Coturnix japonica: one gene and its partners. The protein of the gene in region 3 purifies or fractionates together with the protein of the main gene of each other region. This does not show direct contact. Links are inferred from orthologs where the notes say so. Each region holds a gene or a part of one and is shown on either strand. Other genes may lie near its edges.

Region 1 (3,500 bases), on a different chromosome or scaffold from region 3:
ACACATCCGGCCCATAAAACATTTAGAAGCATCAAATCTCTGTGCCTGATGGAGGCTGTGGGGTTGTGAGTGCCAAAAGAACCAGGAGCCGTGGAGCAGCAGCTTGGAGGAGGCAAGAAGAGCTGGTACCCACCCTGAGTCTGGATAGGGTTGAAGAAAGGGAACTTGTCCTGGTAGAGGCTCTCGAAGGCGCTGTTCCGCAGGGCAGAGACGGGCAGGGGCTGCAGGTCCAGCAGCTCCGTGGGAGGGGGGTACTTCTCAGGGAGGATCAGGTGGCGGAACGAGACGGGCAGCTGGGTCTCACAGGCTGTCAGACACACAAAGTGATTCTATCTCAGAGAGCTGCCTCAGCCTGGATGTCACCAGGATAACAGCAGCCCTTCCCCACCCAGGGCAGCCCCAAAACCTGATACCCCCCCATAAGACCCCATTGGGAGACAGGTAGGCAGGGTGGGACGTACAGAGCCAGCGGTCAGACACCACCCTGATGAAGTACTGCGGGGGCAGAGGCTCAAAGACGGGCACAAAGAAGGTGACCAGGTGCTCGTCCTGGGCGTATTTGGCCTTCAGCAAGAAGTACTCGTGGTGCAGGATCACCTCGCTGTCCACATCCTCCACCAGGATCCAAAAGGCTTCGGATGAGCCATGAACCTGAGCAAGAGGAACCATCACCATATGCTGCTGGATGCAGAGCTCCAGGGACTGAACAGCATCACAGCAATCCTGCCCCATGAAACACCACCCTACCCCCATTGTGATGCTCAGCCTGCCTGTATTTCACAGCCCTTCTTTACTGAGGGCAGCTCCCCTTGGTTTCACTGCTCACCTTCTCATCCCATTGGAAGTCGGGGGCAATAGTGAGCTCCACTTTCAGGGTGGAGCGGGTGATGGGCTGCAAGTGGACCGAGAGCTCCAGCTTTGGGAACAGATGGACGTATTTGTGGATGGTTTTGCCCATCTTGGGCATCCGGATCAGTTCTCCTGCAAGAGAAAGGAGCTGCCATCAGGATAAGTGGACGGCAGGGTTAATAACAGCTCTGGGACTTCACCCAGGGCAATATCTGCAACGTGAGCACAGCTGGACAATGAGAAGAGCTACAGGAAAGCCCCAGTCTAACTCAGGCTGCATAAGACCTTACACCAGGTCTCAGCCAGGATCAGGCGCCCCAACCTCAGCACCCTCAAGGCTCACCCCCCCTGTGTTCCCAGTACCTATTTCATTGTGGTTCAGGTCATAGAGCCGTTCAAAAGGGAAATTCTTCTTCTCGATTTTCTTCACCACTTCCTCAGGCAGCTTCTTGAACTGGCGCAGAGGACACATGGATTGCCACCTGCAGGGACGGCACCCACACAGCTGCAGGCCTCACTGGGGTCCCAATGCTGCCCACCAAGGCACCCCTGGAAGCCTAAGCTCAATACAGGTGCTGTCACTTACATCCGCTTGTCGATCATCTTGCAGAGGTTGAGGGTCTTATCTGTGAGCTGAGCCCAGCCCCGGTTCAGGACGATCTCGAAGATGGCTCTCATCAGCCGCCCTGCAGACTGGGGGGGCATCAGAGCTCAGCTGGGATTGTGGCATCCAACACCTCCCCCTCCCCACCTCCATGGGATCATCACACCCAACACCTCCCCCTCCCCACCTCCATGGGATCATCACATCCAACACCTCCCCCTCCCCACTTCCATCCTCTGCTTTCAGCTCACGTTCTTCACCCCCAGCCACTCAATGGAGGCGCACTGACTCAGCTCCCAGCCTTGGCAGCTTTGGTGTTTATGGCAGAACAGCCCTGCAGCCTCTCAATTACCTCCTCAGGATTCTAATTAGAAACCAAAGACTCCAAAGATCAAACCTGTATCCCGATGGGAGCTGTCTCTCCCTACCACTCACAGCTCTACTTATGTTCCAAGTCATTTCAAACACCAACTCAACCCCTGGGTTGCAGGTTGCTGTCCCTCCCACCAGCAGACACCATTGAGGAGATGGAGAGGCCCTGGCCACTGTTCCTCACCCACCTGGGTAACGTACACCATGTCTGCCATGAGGGCAAAGCCCTCCAGCTTCAGCTGGGAGATGAAGGCCTGCAGGAGCACGTTGATCTGGGGAAGCAGAACAGAGGGATCTCAGCAATGTGAGCATCCCCACGGTGTGAGCAGCACATCTCAGAGGGCTCTAAGCTCTCCAGAGCTGCAGGCCCACACGGCAGCTCCTATAGGGATGGATGCTGTCCTAAGGTGGACACAGCAGACCCCTGGTTTGGGCAGACTGGGCTCACCTTGGCACTGGGCTCCTCTATGCTTTCCTTCACAGGGATGGGAACTCGCTCCAACAGCTTCTGAAGCTCAAGCTTCTCTTCCTATGGAAATCCAATGGAGGAGTGATGAAACAGCCCCAACATGAGACAAAGATCTGCAGCATCCCCTGCAGCATCAGGGCTGTATCACTGAGTACACACGCATGGCTCCTTACCTCCCTCACTGTGATGTTTCTGAACTCCGAGGACAGCGAGAAGACCCGAAACAGCTCGATCTCACTCAGGGTGGGTTTCAGGAGCTGGTTGTACGTTTGCATCGTCTCGTTGGTGATGTAGTAGTGGCTGGCAATGCGGCCCAGCTCCGTCACCTGCAACAAAGACAGCAGCCATAGCAAAGCAGCAGAATGACACCCCACTGTTTGTGGCATAGAGAGAAGGCACGATGGCCATAGCAGGGCTAACACCACCAGACAAGCTGCAGGTAATCCCTCAGCCCACAGATCCCCCAAGGAAAGCTGCTTTGTCAACACGCAGCTCCACTCCTCACACCTTCTCCTTATGGGATCTGTGTTTAATCACTGATTAATCACTAATTTACCCCCCTTCTCTCAGCCAGAGGACACTCCTGCCCGGCTCTGCTTGGTTATAACCCCTCTCCCTTCCTCACCTGGAAGTTCCCCGTCTTCTTGTCGTACTTCACCAGGTTGTTCTTGTCCAACATGAGGGCTGCGGTGTGAACCAGATCCAAACGACGCTGGTCCAGCAGCGGATCCCCCTTCAGATCATCGTGGGAAATGCCATAGAGAGTGGGGGAGCGCAGCATGCGGATGTACAGGTAGGTATAGCCCAGCCAATTCACTGCATCCTGAGGGACAGCAATGCACCATCAGAGACCCCAGACTAACCAAGCAGAGCTGCTGTGTCACTGCAAAGCTCCCACCATCCCCAGCAGCTCTCTGGGCTCACAGCAATAAAGGGGTGGCACCCACAGAGCAAACTAAAGCTCACCTTTGCATTCTGGACGTTGCCCAGCACAGTTTCTGCATTCAGCATGTCTGGGAGCTTCGACACCATCTGGCTTTCAATGGGGAGCTGCTGGTTGAGCAGGGACAGGTAATACTGCAGTTCACCATGGGATGTGATGAGGATCCCCTCACCTTTGGTGTCGTATTGAGGCCTCCCAGCACGTCCCAGCATCTAAGGAATGACAAAGTGAGCTCAATAACAGCTCCTAGTTTGGCAAGTTCT
Region 2 (2,421 bases), on a different chromosome or scaffold from region 3:
CCGTGGCTGCAGCAGCGAGCCTCTGCCCCTGTGCTGTGTGTGCTGACTGCAGTCCAACAGCTCCGTGGTTCAAAGAGCGGCTCTTACAGGTGGAAGCTGCTGCTCTACCGGGCAGCCAGAAACGCTGAAAGGCATTTAGAGATAGAGCACAACACAGACGCATCGGCCGCTAATGGCTGGTGCTCCAGCACACCGGAAAGCAATTAGAAGAGCGAGCATTAACATGATAAAAGCAGAGCGCTCATTAGTGGGAAGGAGGGGAAGCCACAGGGCGCTTAGAGCCGTCCATGGGCAGACCCGGCGGTGCATTCATTGCGCTGCTCCTCCTGTTTTGCCTATGGAAGCATCACTTCCATGTGCTGGACTAAGAGCCTTTCACCCGCATAGAGCTGAGGGCACAAACCCAGCAGTACCAACATTCAAATCCACAACTGCTGAGCAACAAATGAACTGCTCGGCTTCCACAGAGGTGGGTTTGAATGAACCAGAGCAGGCCGTGATTAACTTTAAGACCTTTATTAACAGATGCTTGCAGTTTGACTTGAAAAAATCAGGCGTACTTTTCTTACAAATTAAAAATGAGGTTCTTAAAAATCTCAACTTGACCAGATATATGAAACAATTTAAAAACCTTTAAAGGTGTATTGAGAAAAAACAGACTTTTAAAAAACGCGTTTCTTGTTTCCAAAAGGAGACTTCTTTAGGTAAAAATAATAAAAACCCCATGCTGCATAGATAATGCAGATAGTTCTTGTAATCTGGTCAACAGCAAAAAGCAAGCACTTCAGGTCTTCAGTTCCAATTCTTTTTGTTCATTTCTTATTGCTGGAATTTCATTTTCTTTTCTTCTTCATTTCTTTAAGTCTTTTCTTTGATGACTAAACTGAAAGAAAGGAATAAAGGATCTCAGACGTGGCGTCATGTGGATGTGTTCAGCATGTTGAGGCTCACCTACAGTTTAAATTCATGCTCTGTTTTTGCATACGCATCTTATCACACACAGCTCCCCATCAGCCTATACTGCAGTGATAGAAACTGGAAGCCTGCACCAGAAGCCAGAGCAGAGGGATCCAGGAGAAAGGGCACCCATTAACACCCTTCACCAGACCCTCTTAGCACCAATACCTGCCTTTGAAAGCAAAGAACCAGTGCCTACATAAGACAGCATAAGCAAATAGCTCTGCAGTGACAGCGTTTTCAGTAGGGACCCCATGCACCCCTGCAGACAAGCAGTACCACAGCCCTACAGGGCAGCCCATGCAACACCAAGTGTATCCCTTTTCAGGTGAGAAGCTCCTACCAAAATGCTCCTGCAAACTCAACATCTATTTATGAGAAACAGATGTGGAGAGGTGCTAAAGCCAACCAGCACCCAGCCCTCAGGGCAGGGCAACCAAAGCCACAATGCTGGCAAGCCTGAAGAGCTGCTAGCATCCTCACACACCTGTTTCTCCTAGCAGAATGCTTTCAGGTCACCACACCAGCATCAAAATGCTTCTTGTGGGTGAACTATCATAGCAGAGACTGATTGAGGTTTAAAGATTAGCAATATTCTATGCATTTATTCCACCGGGGAAATTTAAAGCCCGGTAGCAGAGCCCACCCAGTTAACCAGCACTCAGTTCTGTTCTGCAGAGCCAGCAAGCAGAGCAGTTCCAACGTGCATTAACACAAGCAGAACTCAAAGGGAAGCATCACAAAGTAAAGAGCCCACTGTCCAGTCACACCCCCCAGAGCACCCAACACGTACCCGGATGATGGTAGAGATGTTAAGCCGGTATTTACTCAGCCCCGCCCTGCTCGGCCTCGGGAGCGGACGTGTTCTCAGCTGGTGGTTCGGCTGTCTTCGTCTCTTTGCCATCTTGTGGTTTAGGGTTCTCTGGGCGTCTGCGTCTGTAGTTGAAGTTACGACGGTACCGACGTTGAGGTGGCTGCTGACCTTGGGTCTCATCCCCTTGGTTCTCTTTATCTTCTTCGTTTCCATCCTCTCTGGGCTGTCTTTGACGAGGAGGACCCCTGAAAGTCAAGCTGGGCTTTAACAATGCAGCATCTGAGCACTGCGATGTCCTGGCTGTGTTGCTAGAGCACAAGGCTAAAGCAAGAGCTGATCTGCGGCATACCTGCGGAATCGTGGTCTGTAACCTCGATACATGTTCTGCCTGACTGGTCTGCCTTGTTCTCCTGCACCTTGGTTGTCAGCACCCTGGAAGACAACGAGACAAGAAATGTTCTTAGCCAGGCAGTCAAACCACACAGAGGGCTGCAAGGCAGACAGCGGCCTCAGTGCACTACACAGAGCTTCCTCTTTGCCCAGTTACTTGTACCAGAAGTTAACACACTGCTTTTCAACAGCTGTACCCAACACCGTGCCAACATCTGCTCAGGCATTTTATCTCACTGCTAAGCCTTACAGAGCACATC
Region 3 (3,500 bases):
TGAGTTCAGAAAGAAAGCGCAAATGTGGAATGACAGGAGAGGGTGACAGATTCTGACTTCATAAATATACAGTGTTGATACAAATATTGAAGGTGGGGTTGGAGGTTAAGTTTAGAAACTTAAATAGTTTCTAAAGACTTGTTAAGTCCATTACCCAAGCCCTCTTCTGAAATACTGTCAATAGAGAATAAGCATGAATATGAACTATCCTGCTGAATTTGTGAATTAAATCACTGTATGTGGGATCTGATGTATGCAGTAACACACAAATCTATGGAGGGCTAAAAACTTATGTTCTGTTTTATTTCTGTTCTGCATTTGGGACCTTGCTCAATTTGCATCTGTTGTGGTAAGATGAGCCTTGAAGGCTGTGAAGGTTCTTTACATTAGTTCTCTGGTGCAGTTTTTAGCATATTTCCTTCTTTCTTCTGCAGGTTCTTCCCCCACCAGCTGGTTATGTACCTATTCGTACTCCAGCACGTAAACTTACGGCAACTCCCACACCTTTGGGTGGTATGACTGGATTCCACATGCAGACAGAGGACCGGACTATGAAGAGTGTCAATGACCAGCCTTCTGGCAACCTTCCATTCCTGAAGCCAGATGATATCCAGTATTTTGATAAGCTGCTGGTAAATGATATTTCACTTGTGCTGATTAAAGTTTTCTGATCTTTTGAGGTATACCAATGCCTGTTAATTTGTCTGGAATTATTTCTAGGTTGATGTTGATGAATCAACTCTTAGTCCTGAAGAGCAGAAGGAGAGGAAGATAATGAAATTACTTCTGAAAATAAAGAACGGCACACCTCCCATGAGAAAGGTGAGATTAGCAGACATTCTTAGCACTTCATCTGTTAACACACTGCCATTGCATCTTCAGACTATGTCTTTCTTTTCACCTGCTTGTCCATAGGATTCTCTTCAAAATTACCTCCTAAGCTTTGCTGTGTGTTTAATGCTTTCTCTTCCATCTGTGTCCGTGTTGCTTGTTGTTGCTGCTCTTTGTGCAGTAATACTGATTGCTAAGTGTCATATGATTTACAGAATATAATACAATAATTCTTAATTATGGGAGAGAAGATTCTGTTGTGCTTTTTGGTTACAGGGCTTTGTAATTCTCTATATTTGGCTTCTTAAGAGCTATACTGCCAAAGTTCCTAGCTCGCTGATGCAATAGATTATCCATTTTTGGCCGTTTCACTCTAAGCTGATCTGAGCACCTGAAGTGAGTGCTGTGTAAAATGCCTTTTTAGATGGTGCCATTCTTAGTACTGAGCCATGCTTTCCTTGAAAATAGAATAACTGAGTCTTCTCATCATATGTATTTGTGTAGAAAATGGTGGTAGGAACAAGTATTGTGAAGCTCATGGTTACAATAGATTGTGTTTTAACTTGCTTAATACCTACTTGTCCAATAACTGTTCAGTATTGTTTCCTTAGTTTAAGTGACAGTTGCCTTTGTTGTTGTTGTTTTTCAGGCTGCATTGAGACAAATTACTGATAAAGCTCGGGAATTTGGAGCTGGGCCGTTGTTTAATCAGATTCTGCCATTGCTGATGTCACCAACACTGGAGGATCAGGAGCGCCACTTACTTGTCAAAGTCATAGACAGAATTCTGTACAAACTGGATGACCTGGTCCGACCATACGTACATAAGGTCTGTTGCAGTTTGCTCATCTTTGATTTGCTTTTTGTGATCATGGTTGGGGAAGTGTACAGTTCATTTGCATAGCAGAAGAGAAGGCAATATCATGTTGCTTTTGTGTTTCTTTCTCAGTCAAACTTGAACCTATTGTAGTGTGATCCAATTGCAGATATTACAGTACTAAGGCATAATGTTAAAACGTTAATGCACACTTGGGAGAGGGAGAGAGATTTTACCTGATGTAGCTAGAATCCGTGGGGGAGGTTCTTAAAAGAGAGTCGGAGGGGGAAAAAAAAGGCATAACAGATCTAAGACATCATAGGTCATCAAGTTGAAAGCTTGAATCCATGGAATTATCTCAGCTTCATGGAATCATAATTTTCTTACTAGGACCAGAAATAGTACCTATTCACAAATGGAAATGTGTATTTTTTCATCTTTTTCAGATTCTTGTTGTCATTGAACCACTGCTGATTGATGAAGACTATTACGCCAGAGTGGAAGGCAGAGAAATTATTTCCAACTTGGCTAAGGTAATAAATTGTAATCCTATGGTAGGAATTAGCTTGTATATAGCCACACGGAGCTGCTTATAGTCATGGCAGGAAAACGTAGCGTGCTGTTGATAAATCTGTGTGTTTTGTGTGTTCTTCTTTCAGGCTGCTGGTTTGGCAACAATGATTTCTACGATGCGACCTGATATTGATAACATGGATGAATATGTCCGAAATACCACAGCTCGAGCCTTTGCTGTTGTTGCCTCTGCTTTGGGCATTCCTTCTCTGTTGCCGTTCTTGAAAGCTGTCTGTAAAAGCAAAAAATCCTGGCAAGCGAGGCATACAGGCATCAAGATTGTGCAGCAAATTGCTATTCTTATGGGTTGTGCTATCTTGCCTCATCTCAGGAGCTTGGTTGAAATTATCGAACATGGTACGTTCTGCTTTCTTTAGCTTAAGATTTGTATTTAGAATGTTTCTCCTTTGCCTTGTTGGGATGGAGTGTTAATAAGGCAAAGTTCTGTGTAGCCTTTTTTACAGTGAGAAATAACTTGCTTGACTTCAAAAGAGAAACACTGATTGTTTTCCTAAAAACTAAATGATTGCTTTTTTTATCCTATCTGCATGTTTTTGCTATTTTGAGTGTAAGATACGCAAAGTTGTACTAAAGAGTGTGTTCTTTCGCAGGTCTTGTGGATGAGCAGCAGAAGGTTCGTACCATCAGTGCTTTGGCTATTGCTGCTTTAGCTGAGGCAGCTACTCCCTATGGTATTGAGTCATTTGATTCCGTTCTGAAGCCCTTGTGGAAGGGTATACGTCAACACAGAGGAAAGGTATGTCTAAAATACTTCCAGTTTAAACTGAAATGAATATGTATCTTCCGTAACTCACTGGGAATATATTTTTTCATTTAAATAGGGGTTGGCTGCCTTTTTGAAGGCTATTGGTTACCTGATACCGCTCATGGATGCTGAGTATGCCAACTATTATACCAGAGAAGTCATGCTTATTCTTATCAGAGAGTTCCAGTCTCCTGATGAAGAGATGAAAAAGATTGTTTTGAAGGTACGTCAGAATTATTTGTTCAGACACTGGCAGTGGAATAAATTAAACTGATAAAAACTGAATGTTTAGTGTTAACATTGAATATATGTTTCCTTTTCTTTAAGACAAAACCAAAACACCACAACCAAACAAACTGTACACAGAATTAACACTGTTGGCTTTTTTTTCCCACTAGGTGGTAAAGCAATGCTGTGGTACAGATGGTGTTGAAGCAAACTACATTAAAACAGAGATCTTGCCACCATTTTTCAAACACTTCTGGCAGCACAGAATGGCATTGGACAGGAGGA
Region 4 (4,226 bases), on a different chromosome or scaffold from region 3:
CACTTATGGAAACTTAAATAGGACAGATCCTTACATGGATAATAGTGATAAAATCCAGCCACATCTGACATCCCAGCACTAGGATTTAATGCAGAGATGCTGCCCAAAGAAGAAATTATAGATTTAATCCCAACCAGCTGCCCTATCTAATGATGATATTTTACCAAAGTACAGCTATTAATATAGTTTGTGATGTCGGATCACTGTATCACAGCCTCAAATCCATCACCAACCCACTGATCCACCAGAAAGCACCCAAGGAACCAGCTGTTTTGACAACAAAGGGTGGTAATTGCACGTAGAACCTCTAACAAACTTAATTAGAGCCATGCATGCTCAAGCCTGACAGTGACACCAGAGCCTGTCCTGTCTCATGTTGTAACTACCCAAAAAGCACAGAGCTATCAGGAACTTATCGGACCAACAGCAAATCACTTGATGTACATTTCTCTGCCTTCTCCAAGCATAGAAAGCTGAGAATAAAACCATGCAGATTTCCGTTTACAGACAACGTGAAAAATGTTTATTTGGGAAATACATCCCTTATTGTTTCAGACTACAAAAAAAATCACTCCTACAAAAGGAGGGGACTTTGAGCTCAGCATGCAATGCCAGTTACATGTAACTTTCTATCTACCAGCAGGGGTAGATCTCCCACTGCACCTTCTTCATTCACTCCAAACCATTCTGAACTGCAATCACTGCCCTAAGAACAGCGATTTCTAGTTAGAAACACTTTGTAGAAGAGTGATATTGTCTCCTTTTAACATGATCCGACCTGCAACACAGAAAGGAAATGGGGGATTAGAGAGATCCCAGAATCCAAGAATACCTCATGTTTTCACATATTATCCCACAACAGGAGATGCTTGCAAGAAGATGCCCCTATTATAGAGGGGGAGGGTTGCAATGAGTCCTATCCCTGCTGGCAGCCCCATATGGAAAGCATAGCAGGGCAGGGTCCATACTCATAATCCACTCCCAACTCTCAGACACCATCTCAGCCCCAGCAGAACACTGTCCCTGCTATAAACTCAATCCGAATCAACGCATCCCCTCATCACAGACAGCTTTATCTTCTCCAGCAGCGGTAAATAGTAAATACCACCAGTCAGGTGGCTCCTGCTTTGGCCAAGAGTTGACCCAGCAGGTACGAGAATTGCTCAGGGCTACCAAGTTTAGAAACAGCCCAAAGGAGTTTGGACCAGACTCCTCCAGACACCTCAGTTGTACAAAGACAGCATTTAAAAGATAACAACTGGTCTCAGGCACAGGGAGATTCTCCTTTACATTCAGCAAAATCATCACCTTTAACAAACATCAGGAACAAAGACTGAGCCAGCACCTGCCCAATGCTCTCCCAAACCAACACCTGGCATGTGCTTTCCACCTTTAAGTGTTGCTACCAGCAAGGCTCACCCAACCACCTTTCATGCTATAACACGTTGACATACCCAGCTGCTTCCTTGATTTTGTTTTGGAGTGAATCTCCTCTGCATCATCCAGCACCAGGTTCATATATTCATCGAAGCCCTGAAAATCAGTGGCAAAAACACTCAGTTGGTAGCACACAGACTCATGAACGTGGGAAAGCCAATGGTAACACATGGACATGTTGGTACTCACAATGATGCAGCCTTCTATCCGCATGTTCACCTGCTCATAAAGCCACACCTGGATCCTGGACCTCTGCAAAACAATCAGGGTGAATAAACTGGAAAAGAAATGCTTCAAGCAATGCTGGTCTTTGCTTCTGTGCATTTAAGAAAGCCTTGCTAGTAATGTGGTGAGAAATCTTTGCAACCAACAGCCACTGCAGCTCTGAAACACCCCAAAGAGCAACTCCCAACACAGAACCTTGTAGGTGTGGGTTATTGAGTGTGTGTTACACACACAGGGGCACAATCAACATACAAAGGTGTTAATGCAAAGGGAGAACGCTCATCTCTGAGCCAGCTCTTATGCTCCCAAACAGCACCAGTTCTTCGTTTGAAGCCGATGGGCTCCAAAAGCAGCCAAGAAGTTACAAACCCAAAGGCGAACCCAGCCCTGCCCCGGCCCCAGTACTCACGTTCTGCAGGTAGCGGAAGATGAGGTTCTGTAGAGCAGCGTTAAGGACGGGAACAACTCCAGAGAGACACAAGGCCCTGCAGGGCCGCTCCTACCCTCCACTCGCCATCGGCCCCAGAGACGCCATAGGCTCCATAGGCCCCATAGACCCCACAGGCTACATAGGTCCCACTCGGCCCCAGAGACCCCACAGGCCCCAGAAACCCCATAGGCTCCATAGGCCCTGCAGGCCCCAGAGACCCCATAGGCCCCACAGGCCCCATAGACCCCATAGGCTCCACAGGCCCCACAGGCCCCACAGGCCCCACAGGCTCCATAGGTCCCAAAGGTCCCACTCGGCCCCAGAGACCCCGCAGGCCCCATAGGCCTCAAAGGCCCCACAGACCCCATAGGCCCCATAGATTCCCCCATAGGGCCACACACCCCATAGGCCCCATAGACCCCACAGGCCCCATAGGCCCCATAGGCCCCACAGGCCCCATAGGCCCCATAGGCCCCATAGGCCCCATAGGCTCCATAGGCCCCGCAGGCCCGTCCCCTGCCCCTCCGGACAAGGATACGATGGGCTGCACCATCACCTTCTGCACCTTCTGGCCCTGCCCTCGATACGCCATGGCTACTCCCTGCCCGCCGCCACCACAAGCTCCGCCGGAAGTCGCAGAGAACACCGGAAGCCGCTGAGCAAGGCGGGAACGCGCAAGGGACGCTGGAAGACTTGCCGCTCTAGGAAAGCGGGAGGACCGCGTCTCTACTGCTCGCAGATCCCACCAGTGCTGTCTCGCATTAAGATCCCGCCCACCAATACGCAAAGAGGCGGCGCATGCGCAGTGGTGGCGGCGGCGGGGCCATGGCGGGCGAAGCTCCGCTGCCCTCGGTGGCGCTGGCGCCCCCTGGCGGCGGGTCTGGGCCTGGGGTCGGACCGGGCCGAACCGACGGTACCGAGGGGCTGTTCGTGGCTCTGGGCGCTGGGCTCGCCGCCGTCAGCCACCCCCTGCTCTACGTCAAGCTGCTCGTCCAGGTCCGGGGCCTAAAGGGGGTGTGGGGGGGATGAGACCCCCGTGTGGGGGCAGGGGGGAGGCCTGAGGTGTAGGCCGAGGTGTGAGGGGGGGTCGTGGGGCGTCTCTATGGGGTGACGGCCTGTGTAATGATGGGGAACCCCATAGGGAACTATGGGGACCCTGTGCAAAGGGAACCCCCCATATGTGGCAATGGGGGTTCCCTCCTTATAATGTGTTGAGGGGGGTAATGGGGGGTGACGGCCTGTGTAATGATGGGGAACCCCATAGGGAACTATGGGGACCCTGTGCAAAGGGAACCCCCCATATGTGGCAATGGGAGCTCCTTATAATGTGTTGAGGGGGTTAATATGGGGGGTGAGGCTGTGTAATGATGGTGGAACGCCCATAGGGAGCTATGGCGGACCCTGTGTAAAGGGAACCCCCCAATATGTGGCAATGGGAGCTCCTTATAATGTGTTGAGGGGGGTAATGGGGGAGTGATGGCCTGTGTAATGATGGGGAGCCCCATAGGGGGCTATGGGGACCCTGTGTAAAGGGAACCCCCCATATGTGGCAATGGGAGCTCCTTATAATGTGTTGAGGGGGTTAATATGGGGGTGACGGCCTGTGTAATGATGGGGAACCCCATAGGGGGCTATGGGGACCCTGTGTAAAGGGAATCCCCCATATGTGGCAATGGGGGTTCCCTCCTTATAATGTGTTGAGGGGGGTAATGGGGTGAGGAGGGTCGTGCTGTGTGATGGGGTGGCACTCAGTCACCGTTATCTGTGTGTATGGATCCCACCTGTAGCTGTGAGGATGGAATGGGGAGCACTGTGGGAATTGGGATATTGCTGCATCAGGGACAGCTGTATAACAGGGAATGGGAACTCATATATAAACATATATACCAAAGATAAAGACCAACGTGTGCAGTGGAGGCTTGTTTATGTGACAGGTGAGGGGACCCCATAAAATGGGATGGATGAAGATACCCACACAATGGGGATTCCTATATAACAAAGGATTGAATGTGGGTCTTCATCCCTCTTCATCCTCAGAACCCCTCTGTAATAGGGAACCCTATAAAATGAGGGGGATGGGGGCCTCCTGTACCCCAAGAGGAGTAACAGGAAAGGGACTGCCTATATCATGGGA
Region 5 (3,142 bases), on a different chromosome or scaffold from region 3:
CAGTCATCAAGCCCAAATACGCTGCAGATGTGCAAACCAAGCAACCCTTTCCTCCCTCTAAAAGAACACAAAAAACCCCACCCAAAACAACAAAAATGACAATAAATAACTAAAACCTTTTCTCTTATCTGGAAAATTCACAACATTTGAGTCAGACACATCTGACTGCATATAGTCTTAAGTTTAAGTTTCCAAAGACATGGATTCTACAAACAAGTGCTATATCAATGCCTAACACTTACCGCAGGGTAGCCCCACACTTCCTTTCAACTTAAAATACTATACATTAATTCAATATTATGATTGCAATCTATTTCCTGCATAAACCCTAATCACAGGAACACCACCATATTCTAACACAATAAAACCATTTCACACCAGTGAGCATCTCCACAAGGTAAAATTCAGGCACTGATGTCAAGGAAATGGAGAAAGCTGTATGTAATAGCTTCTGTAGTGGGGAATCCTGTACTAGTACAGTAATGAAGCAGCTTCTTTGCTTGTGACTCACCTTTTATCAGGAGCTGCTCTGGAGAGATTTCTGTCGTGCTGTCTCTCTTTGCGTCGGTCATGTCTTATTTCATCTCTTTCTCGAGCTTCTCCATCCTCTGAACACATGCAAGATTGCTTATTACAGACAGCTACTCAAGTCTGAATTAAACTACAGCACAGACATTGGCACAGTGATTCAATATTCATTTCCAAAAGAGAAGGGATCCTTAGCACCATATGTTACTTTTTAAACAAATTAGAAAGGAGAACAGTAACTTTCTCACGCCACAAGCAATTAAACGTCCTTGACAAGAGAGTTACAGCACACATACACAACAACTATGTTTTCTGAACTTTAAAGAGCTCAGAATTCTTGTCCACCTACAAATTAACATCCCCAACAGCTGCAGATGATTGTGTCATACCCTCTTCTCTGTTACATGTTAGTATAAAAATGTCATTCTAATACAAGGCATCTTCCAAGCACCTGGACAACCTGTTCCACTGTTTTTTGTCCTCATGATGAAATCTGTTTCTCTGCGTACACTGGTGGAAGCACACACTTCAGCTTTTAACCACTATCTCATTCTTCCACAGTGTAGCTGTTGATCTCTCCATAGGAAGGCTGACATTAGGTTACCATCAAGCTCTCTCTACTGCAGGCAGAGCATGCTTCATTCTCTCAGCATCTCACCACACAGATGCTCTGGCCACCTGGCCATTTTGGTGACCCTCCACTGAACTCATTCCTGTTCATCAATGTCTGTCTTGAACTGAGAGTCCCTTAAGTGGGCACTATTCCAGATGCAGTCTAGCAGATGACCAGTAAAGGAAAAACAACTATTTCCCTTGTCCTTCTGGCTGCACTCCTGCTGATGCAGCTTAGCATACCCCTAGGAATACTGCTGCCAGGGCGTGCTGCTATAGCTTTTCTTCAGCACATCGTCCGCTAGGACTCCCAGAGGTGCTTCTGAACACAACTGCTCTGCAGCCTGCTAGTTCTCAGCCTGTACTGCTGGAAACAGATTAGTCCATCCCAGCTGCAGTATATGACCACATTCTCCACCTTTAAGTGACATTAAGAGAACTGCTTTGTAAGTTCAGCACCCTGATCTCTGAAATGTCATTTCAATCAAGACATAACACACCACAATGGCTATGATTTAGTTAGGTTATTAGATTCTGAGCCTGGTAGCCAAAGCTACTTCTCCTTAAGACCAATTATAACAACATCAGAGACAGAATACTGCGTTTACCATCTTTGAAAACTTAAAGATCATTTAGTGCTCACAGATGAAGTCAAAACAAGCCTTTTCTGAAAAAGAAATCAAATTACAACAGTCCATGAAAGCCCTTATGTTGTAATGATCCATCCACTGTACTGATACAGTGATCAATTTCTCAACAACCTCCTTCAACCTGACGTTGAAATTCAGATCCCCATGAATTAAGCAAACGAATTTGGATATTTTAATTTCTCAGGTTATTTCTGCAAACCTACACTTCAGAGAGTGCAAAAAACCAAACGACTCCACAGAACCTCAGCAACAAAATGTACCTTTTTCAACGTGGGTTTTAATCCCTGCTCTCCTTTCTCTTGCTTTCTGGGCCATTTCTCGGAGCTTTTCCTCATGTTTCTCTTTTTCTTTCTGAGCCATTTTCCTCTCCACCTGGGCACGCATCTCCACAGCCTCACGAGCCTGCACACATAAGACCCCTAGTTAGCACCTGGGATGCAGATCTTCTGTCCCGGAGTTACACGGTAAATGGGAAGAATTGAGTCCTATAGTTAAAGTTCAAAACCAGAAAAATACCAAAATTCAAGCTGAGGAACAACAGACATGACCTGCGATAATTTAATCCACACTGAGCCGCTGATTCAAACACACTGGGGATAAAAACGTTACAGTAGCCTAGAAGCAGGACAGACCAAAAAGCTATAGCACTCTCCCAGCTGATTTTCCCAAGGAATCAAGCACATAATAAAGGTACAACCACATGAAACAGAACAGCTTAAACAACCACCTGACCTTTCTGTCTGCTATATAGAGAGCCTCAGCAAGCTTGGCAAAGTTTTCATTGATGTGAACAGTCTGCAGTCCTCTTCCATCTGCAGCCAGACGCTTGTCTAATGGGATGGTGTAACCCTAAAGAGGAGATGAGCAGTTACAGAAATTAGTAAGGCTTTTAATAGCAAACTTGTATTGCATTTATTGGGTAAGAAAACAACAACAAAAAAAATACACTATCACAGAAGTCAGCCAATCATTCATTGTATCATCAGGCCCCCCTCCAGGGGCCTTCTTTAGACGTACTCCAAATTCATACCAGGCAATAATAAGCAATTCCACCCCCACCTCAAATCTAGATCACATTTTTTGTTCAAGTATGAATGAGAATGAATTTGTGATTAATAAGCTCCACCTTTTGCTTTAAGAATTCCAGATGACAGCTCTCCTACTCTCTAAGTAGTTTTACCATTTGTATTTAAAACTCGACTCCCCTGAACTGTTTTTAAACCTATTAAGAGACTGGCTGACTCAAAAATGAGAAATTAAGGGCCAAGGCTGTAAGCAAAAGCAAGAGACTCTAGATGCTGCCTGCTGAAATCTGCAAATATCTATAGATATTTTAAGATCCCTTAGATAAC
Region 6 (3,500 bases), on a different chromosome or scaffold from region 3:
TGATGAACATTATTAACAACAAAGAGAAACTGCAGCAAAGAGCATTACATGGATACTGCTAGTTGCATGACTGTGGTAAACACAATGACACATTTGCCCCTTCAGGAGTATTAGTAAACTTTCAGGGTGTGTATATACATACATGCATATACGTACTTTAAACCCTTTGTAAGATCACAGGGAGACAAAACTAAATAAAATTAAGACTGGAATCACTTAAGAGCTTTTCTTCAGAACTCAGGTTTAGGAGTTCCCTGTAACTGAATGTCACAAATACTTCAGATAACTGAAAGAAAGCATGACACGTGATTTATAAAGTCAACTGGTCCTAGCCCCGTGCTAACTAAGCAATATAATCTGACAGTGGCTCTCATTATATCAGGTCCACTGCAAAATGAAATAAGCAAAGATATGGAGTTGCATATGAAAGCTTTCCTAGGGAAAGAAACTCTTGGAAAGTCAATTTGATTCAATAACAAAGCCACTGAGGATTGCCAGTGTGGTGCCGTCCAAGGAAACTACATTATTACTGTAATATCCCATTTCTTTATTGGTTAACCTGTTATTTTGCAATTGAGCATATTTAATGTTCCATTACAGTATTTACTAAACACAAACACAGTAAACAACATTGCTCTACAATCTAAAAGTGTCACTCAAGAAGTTTCCTGTAGATGGACTCTAGGGTGAATTCAGTTACTTTAGGAACAAAGCAAGGGCCTTCCAGCTCACCAAAATCTTTTCAGATTCACGCTCAGTAGACGCATATAAAACAAGTAACCACCTGTACATTTATCCTCTTCATGAACAGCAGCACATGCTCCACAAAAAGAAGGTTGACAGCTGCAACCTGTTTGCCAGGATCACACAATCAAAAAAAAAAAAAAAAAGACAAAAAGAAAGAAATAAAATTTATTGGAAAACAGACTGAAAAAGCAAAGACTGGCTGACTTCCTGCACTTCTGTTGTAGGCAGAACAAAATGTGACTGAAAGCTCTCAAAAAAGACAAAAAGAAGACAATATAGCACAAGTATGTTGCTGCATTAAAATCGCTTCCTCTTGATAATTTCTGGCTTCCAGCTGATAGGATGAGTTTCTTCAGTCTGAAAGGGAAGAACAGAAGCCCCGTAAGGAATTATTCTGTTTTTAACTTGAGAATAATCTGTAATTAGGGTTTAGTCTAAAATATTACTTACGTAGGATATATACTCCATGTTATACAAAGCAATAAAGTTACCCAATTCATTTAACCAAATTAAATTACAATATCATTCCTGCCTGAAAGACACAATAGAACTTGTTCCTGCTTTTATCTTTTCTTCCTGTTTTTGTGAGGTGATGGGTGGGAATAAACCCATATCGTATATATATACATATATATGTGTGTGTGTGTGTGTGTGTGTGTGTATTTAAAACGTAACCCTCTTGCTAATTCATGTTTTAATGATTACAACTAAAAAATTCTTGAGCACCTTCTAAACACAAAATCCGCTGCTATTTTGGGTAGATTTTCCCAAATTTTAACAAAAATGACTTGAGTAGATTTGATGGACATGCAACTTATCTGCTCTATAGCAGTTGATAAGAAATTAGGAGGAAGCTGCTGTCCTCTTTAGATTTATGCATACATGTTCTTTTCAAATATTAACAGAACAGATTCAACAAGGGTATATACGTGTTCCTTGCTGCTGTGCCTAAAGTTTACTTGAAATCTTTTGAATTCATGAAAATATATAAAAGAGATGCTTTGGCATACCGCAGTATCATCTTCTTTATACACTTTTATGGTTTTATCAGCTTCGGCAGTTAGCAATCTGCTTTCAGACTGGTCAAAAACACAAGCAAATATTCCTGATTCACTGTCCAAAGAGCCTGGCTGTACGGCTGCGTGTACTCTCTGGAAATTGTAGCCAGTTCTCCAGTCCCAAAGATGCATAGTACCATTATCAGCTGAAAATAAATCAAAGCAAAAATAATTAGTACTTCACCCAGTTAATTTCTACCATTCTTCTAAAAACAGTATTGTGATCAAGCTTCCATATCCACTTCTCATAACATTTATTTTATAGTCCCTTCAACAGTTTCACTGCTCTTCTTTGCACATGGTCTGAGCGACTCAATATCATTCTTGTAAAGAGAAGCTCTATGAGCCCAAAACTGAAAGCAACATTCGAAGTACAACACAGACACAGAATCATCTAAGTTGGAAGGGACCTACAAAGACCATCTAGCCAAGAGCTCCCCTGCAAAGAACAGAGACACCTACAGCTAGATCAGGTTGCTCAGGTTTCCTGTTTTTCTTAGCTAAGAGGGAAGATTCATCTTGTTTAAGTAGGCTGGTGAAGCTTCCTCAGAATCTCATCCCGTTTTGAATCAAATAACCCACAAGGCAGCACACTGCTTTGGAAGCAAAGAAAAGACTGATATTCTGAACATTAAGCTCTCTGTTCAGAAATATCTTCCCTACTGGAGATTTCAGATTGCTTTCAAACACATTTTTGGGCATGCAGAACCAAAAAATATAAGGGATTCTACTTCTTTCAAAACAAAGATGTAGGCTATAGCAGGTTTATAAGTCCAAGAGAGCTAAGGGAACATCCTGACCCTAAGAACCTTCAGTCATATGTACATTGTGAGGAGTGGGAAAGAATATGAATGTGCATTTTTCATTTACCTCCTGAGACCAAAACTCCATCTGAATTTACAGTCAATGTGTTGATAATAGCATTGTGACCAGAGAGGTTCTGAATGAAGTTTCCATCTGGGAATTTCCACTGCTTAATGTTATCTGGAGAACCAGATGCAAATGTATAACTGAAAGAAAATAAGCACAGGATATTGAAGATATAGAAGGGGGTATAAAAGATTTCTTTGGACAGCAGGGAAGATAATACATTCGTTTGTTGTTATTCTGAGAAATTCAGTAGAAGGGCATCATCAGCAGAGGTATCAGAGGGGAAAAAAGGTTTTGGTTTCCAAACCCACACAAGCAAGGACAAAATACTGAAATAAAAGCAAATTCTATGCAAGTTTGTTTTCTCCATTGTCTTAATGGTAACTTATCTGGATAAACTTGGGATGTATCAAAGCGAAGATATCTTAACCTACAGCATCGTAAACAACACCTGCTTCAAAGATTAAACACCCACAAGAACGTTTTCTTTTTTTAAGGCTACTTGGATTGAAACATCTTGAGCAACGAAGCACACATTACAAAAAAATCACTTGTTATTAATCACTGCCTCCACTAGTAATATTCACAGCTGAGAAACTGTACAGAAACGTGTCTCTTTCTGCTAATAACCAATCAGTTACTTAAATTATTATTAGCTTTATCATGCTCAGTGTTGCTGATTTTTCAAGGAACATGCCAAAGCACATGCAAAAGAAATTCTGTTGACTGCAATATATTCTGGGTATGAAAACCAATTCCTGAGAAGCCCAGAGCAGTAAAGGTGCTACACATATAGCTTACTGATATATACATTTTTAAGCATTA
Region 7 (4,167 bases), on a different chromosome or scaffold from region 3:
TCACTCACTGAGTCATACATTGAAGCTCGCTCCTTGCCATGGTGACACGGGAACCATTAGGTAGGAACACGCTGTGATAACCACACAAAATTGATATCTCAGCTGATGACTGGGAGCGGAGCAGGAGCTGGGCACAGAGCTCTAATTGTCATCGGGACATCAAGGCCAGGAACACCAGGAAGGACTTGCCTACCCCCAAGCACTGCTGCTGCAGGAGCACAAAGCCACCAGTGCCCGAGGCAGCGGGACAACTGCAGCACTGGGGTCTGGCTGCACGCACAGCAGAATCACAGGGACCCTGGAGCGGCCAAAAGCTCTGCCTGGGCCTGCTCAGTGGCAGCTCTTCTCCTGCCACAGCACCAGCAGGGTCAGGCTTACCCAGGAGCTGTTGTGCCCAGGGGACCCACCCTGCCAGCACAAGGGAATGCTGAGGTCAGTCCCCAGGAGCAGGTCTCACTGCCTGGCACCCCCGTGCTGATTTCCCGGAAGATAAAACCTCTTCCCTTCTTTTGGGGAGGCACCGCAGCGCTGCAGACGCGGTTGTGGTGGCTGGTGACCCAGTTTTTCCTGGCTTCAAGAGAAATCTTATCTCCTGTGGTTGGCTGCTACCGCGTGGGCAGCTGCTACGAGTTGGCGCTGGGCTGCTTTCCTGCGAAACCCAACTGGTGTGTGAAGGGCTCTGACGTGAGCAGCAACAGCTGGGGCAGGAAACCTGCCCGCTTCCATGTAGGGGCTGCTCCTGCGGGTAATTCCCTCTGCCCTGGGCCGGTGCTGCGGGAAAGTCCTGGCAGCCAGAGGGCGGGGGACAGCCCGGGGAGAGCCCTGCAGAGCGATGGTAACCGGTAAATTCAGCACCGAGGTACGCCGCGCATTCAGCACGATGGTAACCCGGGCATTCCAAGCACCGATGGGCAACCCGTTTCAGCACCGTGGTAACCCGTATTCAGCACCGATGTAACCCGGTATTCAGCACCGATGGTAACCCGGTATTCAGCACCGATGGTAACCCGGTATTCAGCACCGACACTGAGCGCAGCCTCCAGCCGCAGCCACACGAGCAGCAGGGGCAGGACTCGGCAGCCGGCCCCGGGAATCCCGGGCAGGGACCCGGCGCGGGCCGGGGCTACGTGCGGCCGGCTCCGCAGCACGTCACCACTCCCGAGCCCCGAAGCGATGAGCGGAGAGATCACAGCGGGGCCGATCTGAGCCCTGAGGGGAACCGAGCCCTGAGGGGAACCGCCGCTGCACCGCGACCGGACCGGGCCGAAACCAGCTCCACATCCGGCCACAGGAGCCGGAAATGACCTCCACGCTGAGCGTCACTTCCGGCGGCTTGCGACGGTTCGGCGCGCGTTCACTTCCGGTACGCCGGCGGAAGCGGGAGTTGCAGTTCCGGGTGAGCGGTCGGTCTGTCGGTCTGTCGGTCGGTCGGTGCTGTGAGCGGCTGCGGTTCGTCCCGTCCCGTCCCGCCGCCATGTCGGCCCCCAGCGCTCTCGTGAAGCAGCCGCCCATCCAGTCCACGGCGGGCGCCGTGCCCGTCCGCAATGAGAAGGGTGAGTGCGGGGCGCCGGGAGGGGCGGGGGGCGCGGGCACGGCGGCGGCGTGAATGTTCATGGCATGAATGCACATGGCTGCCCATGGCGCCCTGCTCATGGCCCGGCTGCCCATGGCTGCCCATGGCTGCTCACGGCTGTTCATGGCCCGGCTGCCCATGGCGCCCTGCTCATGGCCCGGCTGCTCATGGCTTCCCGCTGCTGTTCCTCCCGCTGCTGTTCCCCCCCCTCCCGCAGGCGAGCTGTCTATGGAGAAGGTGAAGGTGAAGCGGTACGTGTCGGGGAAGCGGCCCGACTACGCGCCCATGGAATCCTCGGAGGAGGAGGACGAGGAGTTCCAGTTCATCAAGAAGGCGAAGGAGCAGGAGGTGGAGCCCGAGGAGCAGGAGGAGGAGGTCGCCAACGACCCGCGGCTGCGGCGGCTGCAGAACCGCATCACTGAGGACGTGGAGGAGCGGTGAGTGCTCGGCTCCGGGCTCTGCTCCCTCCTCGTGCTCCCCCCCAGCTTTGTGTTTCCGGGCTCCTGAGCACGCAGGGGATGCCTCTTTCCTTCACACGCTTCGTGGTCCCGGGTCTGACTACGGTCTCATTAGAAACAGATCGCAAAGATTTCTCTTCTTTAGTCTCCTTGTGTTCAGAGCTTCGTAGTCGAGTGGACATTTGTTGCAGGCTGGCAAGACACCGCAAAATTGTGGAGCCTGAAGTGGTCGGAGAGAGTGATTCTGAGGTAGAAGGTGAAGCGTGGCGTGTGGAGAGAGAGGACACCAGTGAAGAGGAAGAGGAAGAGATCGATGATGAGGTTCGTTATATTGCTGAGCAGATGTGGCCTGGGAAAGTCCCCTTAGGCCCTGTCTGGAATTCGTGCTTGCAGACACACGTGAACTGTGGTGAGACTGGGTGGATGTTGGGACCTGAGTTAAAGCCAGCTGTGGTGTGACCACAGCCTGTGGGTTATGGGGCACCAGGGAGGTCACCTGCGTTCTGAGGTGTGGGCTTATATAAGCAGTCAACATCATATCATATAAGCTCAACATCATGCTTTTTATATGGAAAAAGGAAGGAAGCGATAGTGGGGCTGGTTGGCTGAGTCTGTGTTTGATGTGTCTCCATTAGGAGATCGAGCGTCGGCGTGGGATGATGCGTCAGAGAGCGCAGGAGAGAAAAACTGAGGAGCTGGAAGTGATGGAGCTGGAAGATGAGGGCAGATCTGGAGAAGAGTCTGAGTCAGAGTCTGAGTACGAGGAGTACACAGACAGCGAGGATGAAATGGAGCCACGTCTCAAACCTGTCTTCATCCGCAAGTAGGTGATAAGGTGATACAGCTGCATGGGCCAAGCACTGCATCAGGGATGGGCAGTGACTGACCTGGTAGGGCATGGCTGGGTACTTCCAACTGGGGACTTTAGGCAGGTACAGCACAACAGAAACCAGGTAGTGTGCTCCAACATGTTCCACAGCCAGTAGCAGGGTCTCCCATCACCTTTGTGCATGTCTGCAGATGTGAGGAGACTGAGTATGGTCGCTCTTGAATGAGCAAAATCAGAAAGGAGAGAGCCTTGGGACTTGGCCCTGCCGTGGGGGGCATAAAGACTAAAAGAGGCTGCAGTGGGAGCAGAGGTCTGCAGTGGCATGTTGAAAGGCTGAAGGCTTTTGTGGTCCCTGCTCACAGGAAGGACCGGATCACAGTTCAGGAGCGAGAAGCAGAAGCCTTGAAGCAGAAGGAGCTAGAACAGGAGGCAAAGAGATTAGCAGAAGAGAGGCGCAAGTACACACTCAAGGTACAGCGGGGCAGACTGGGGCATGCATGTTGGGGCAGCCATTGCAGTGAGCTGAGCTTGGTCTTGGCTTCAGATCGTGGAAGAGGAGGCAAAGAAGGAGCTGGAAGAGAATAAGCGCTCGTTGGCAGCACTTGATGCTCTCGATACAGACGATGAGAATGATGAGGAGGAGTACGAGGCTTGGAAAGTACGTGAGCTGAAGCGCATCAAACGGGATCGTGAAGAACGAGAAGCGTAAGTACTGTCTGCTTAAGGCAGGGGAGGGTCCCTGCAGTCCCAGGCCCTGCAGGACAGCGGGCAGTTGAGGCGTCTCTTTCTCAGTCTTTGTTTTGGCAGCATCAGGAATTTTCTTGAGGTGCTTTACTCCATTATGGAGTCAGTCAACGTATTCGTCAGAAAGTCCCGGGTGGCAGCAGCTGTCCCATCTTGGGAGGGCACTGAGGGATGCAGGGGCTCAGGGTTTCTCTTTTGCCCAGCATGGAGAAAGAGAAGGCAGAGATCGAGCGGATGAGGAACCTGACAGAGGAGGAGCGCCGTGCCGAGCTGCGAGCCAACGGCAAAGTCATCACCAACAAGGCAGTGAAGGGCAAATACAAGTTCCTGCAGAAGTACTACCACCGTGGCGCCTTCTTCATGGTGAGTTCTGCTGCCAGGCCTGGGGCTGCGTGGACCACGTGGCTGTTTTGGGGGAGTTTTCCCTAGTGGTACCCAAGTAAGGGCTGGCCAAGCACACAGGACCAGAGCTGGCCCTCAACAGCAGCGTGCTGCTGAAGTGACTGAGGGGATCTGAGGTGCCTGTCAGGTCTGGCAGGCAGGGTGAGTAAAGACACGAATGC

What was found.
Region 1: the proteins of SF3B1 (region 3) and SNRNP200 purify together in Homo sapiens (co-immunoprecipitation; 4 studies listed by BioGRID and IntAct, with this or other methods). This does not show direct contact. The link is inferred for Coturnix japonica from reciprocal best matches to the Homo sapiens genes SF3B1 and SNRNP200.
Region 2: the proteins of SF3B1 (region 3) and YBX1 purify together in Homo sapiens (co-immunoprecipitation; 3 studies listed by BioGRID and IntAct, with this or other methods). This does not show direct contact. The link is inferred for Coturnix japonica from reciprocal best matches to the Homo sapiens genes SF3B1 and YBX1.
Region 4: the proteins of SF3B1 (region 3) and SNRPE purify together in Homo sapiens (co-immunoprecipitation; 4 studies listed by BioGRID and IntAct, counting the BioPlex papers as one, with this or other methods). This does not show direct contact. The link is inferred for Coturnix japonica from reciprocal best matches to the Homo sapiens genes SF3B1 and SNRPE.
Region 5: the proteins of SF3B1 (region 3) and SNW1 purify together in Homo sapiens (co-immunoprecipitation; 3 studies listed by BioGRID and IntAct, with this or other methods). This does not show direct contact. The link is inferred for Coturnix japonica from reciprocal best matches to the Homo sapiens genes SF3B1 and SNW1.
Region 6: the proteins of SF3B1 (region 3) and PLRG1 purify together in Homo sapiens (co-immunoprecipitation; 3 studies listed by BioGRID and IntAct, with this or other methods). This does not show direct contact. The link is inferred for Coturnix japonica from reciprocal best matches to the Homo sapiens genes SF3B1 and PLRG1.
Region 7: the proteins of SF3B1 (region 3) and MFAP1 purify together in Homo sapiens (co-immunoprecipitation; 3 studies listed by BioGRID and IntAct, with this or other methods). This does not show direct contact. The link is inferred for Coturnix japonica from reciprocal best matches to the Homo sapiens genes SF3B1 and MFAP1.

Annotation. Positions count from the first base shown.
Region 1 is NC_029537.1:1,047,411-1,050,910, forward strand, and holds part of SNRNP200 (U5 small nuclear ribonucleoprotein 200 kDa helicase), read right to left. Parts: intron 3,450-3,500; coding exon 3,261-3,449; intron 3,118-3,260; coding exon 2,920-3,117; intron 2,621-2,919; coding exon 2,468-2,620; intron 2,355-2,467; coding exon 2,274-2,354; intron 2,098-2,273; coding exon 2,014-2,097; intron 1,543-2,013; coding exon 1,436-1,542; intron 1,332-1,435; coding exon 1,213-1,331; intron 982-1,212; coding exon 827-981; intron 652-826; coding exon 462-651; intron 308-461; coding exon 134-307; intron 1-133. UniProt on the Homo sapiens protein: Catalyzes the ATP-dependent unwinding of U4/U6 RNA duplices, an essential step in the assembly of a catalytically active spliceosome. Plays a role in pre-mRNA splicing as a core component of precatalytic, catalytic and postcatalytic spliceosomal complexes.
Region 2 is NC_029536.1:5,554,770-5,557,190, forward strand, and holds the end of YBX1 (Y-box-binding protein 1), read right to left. Parts: intron 2,204-2,421; coding exon 2,121-2,203; intron 2,029-2,120; coding exon 1,782-2,028; 3' UTR 1,751-1,781; intron 884-1,750; 3' UTR 501-883; downstream 1-500. UniProt on the Homo sapiens protein: DNA- and RNA-binding protein involved in various processes, such as translational repression, RNA stabilization, mRNA splicing, DNA repair and transcription regulation.
Region 3 is NC_029522.1:38,392-41,891, forward strand, and holds part of SF3B1 (splicing factor 3B subunit 1), read left to right. Parts: intron 1-434; coding exon 435-632; intron 633-720; coding exon 721-822; intron 823-1,480; coding exon 1,481-1,660; intron 1,661-2,094; coding exon 2,095-2,181; intron 2,182-2,307; coding exon 2,308-2,578; intron 2,579-2,832; coding exon 2,833-2,978; intron 2,979-3,063; coding exon 3,064-3,210; intron 3,211-3,385; coding exon 3,386-3,500. UniProt on the Homo sapiens protein: Component of the 17S U2 SnRNP complex of the spliceosome, a large ribonucleoprotein complex that removes introns from transcribed pre-mRNAs.
Region 4 is NC_029541.1:2,015,870-2,020,095, reverse strand, and holds SNRPE (small nuclear ribonucleoprotein E), read right to left. Parts: upstream 2,791-4,226; 5' UTR 2,685-2,790; coding exon 2,631-2,684; intron 2,099-2,630; coding exon 2,072-2,098; intron 1,690-2,071; coding exon 1,627-1,689; intron 1,534-1,626; coding exon 1,455-1,533; intron 779-1,454; coding exon 723-778; 3' UTR 501-722; downstream 1-500. Other genes in the region: MTCH1 (mitochondrial carrier homolog 1), read left to right, coding at 2,891-3,088. UniProt on the Homo sapiens protein: Plays a role in pre-mRNA splicing as a core component of the spliceosomal U1, U2, U4 and U5 small nuclear ribonucleoproteins (snRNPs), the building blocks of the spliceosome.
Region 5 is NC_029520.1:35,692,692-35,695,833, forward strand, and holds part of SNW1 (SNW domain-containing protein 1), read right to left. Parts: intron 2,640-3,142; coding exon 2,523-2,639; intron 2,193-2,522; coding exon 2,051-2,192; intron 609-2,050; coding exon 512-608; intron 1-511. UniProt on the Homo sapiens protein: Involved in pre-mRNA splicing as component of the spliceosome. As a component of the minor spliceosome, involved in the splicing of U12-type introns in pre-mRNAs.
Region 6 is NC_029519.1:18,049,370-18,052,869, forward strand, and holds part of PLRG1 (pleiotropic regulator 1), read right to left. Parts: intron 2,816-3,500; coding exon 2,676-2,815; intron 1,952-2,675; coding exon 1,758-1,951; intron 1,105-1,757; coding exon 1,045-1,104; 3' UTR 1-1,044. UniProt on the Homo sapiens protein: Involved in pre-mRNA splicing as component of the spliceosome. Component of the PRP19-CDC5L complex that forms an integral part of the spliceosome and is required for activating pre-mRNA splicing.
Region 7 is NC_029525.1:18,263,623-18,267,789, forward strand, and holds the start of MFAP1 (microfibrillar-associated protein 1), read left to right. Parts: upstream 1-1,367; 5' UTR 1,368-1,474; coding exon 1,475-1,553; intron 1,554-1,790; coding exon 1,791-2,010; intron 2,011-2,222; coding exon 2,223-2,352; intron 2,353-2,666; coding exon 2,667-2,854; intron 2,855-3,222; coding exon 3,223-3,331; intron 3,332-3,404; coding exon 3,405-3,565; intron 3,566-3,807; coding exon 3,808-3,967; intron 3,968-4,167. UniProt on the Homo sapiens protein: Involved in pre-mRNA splicing as a component of the spliceosome.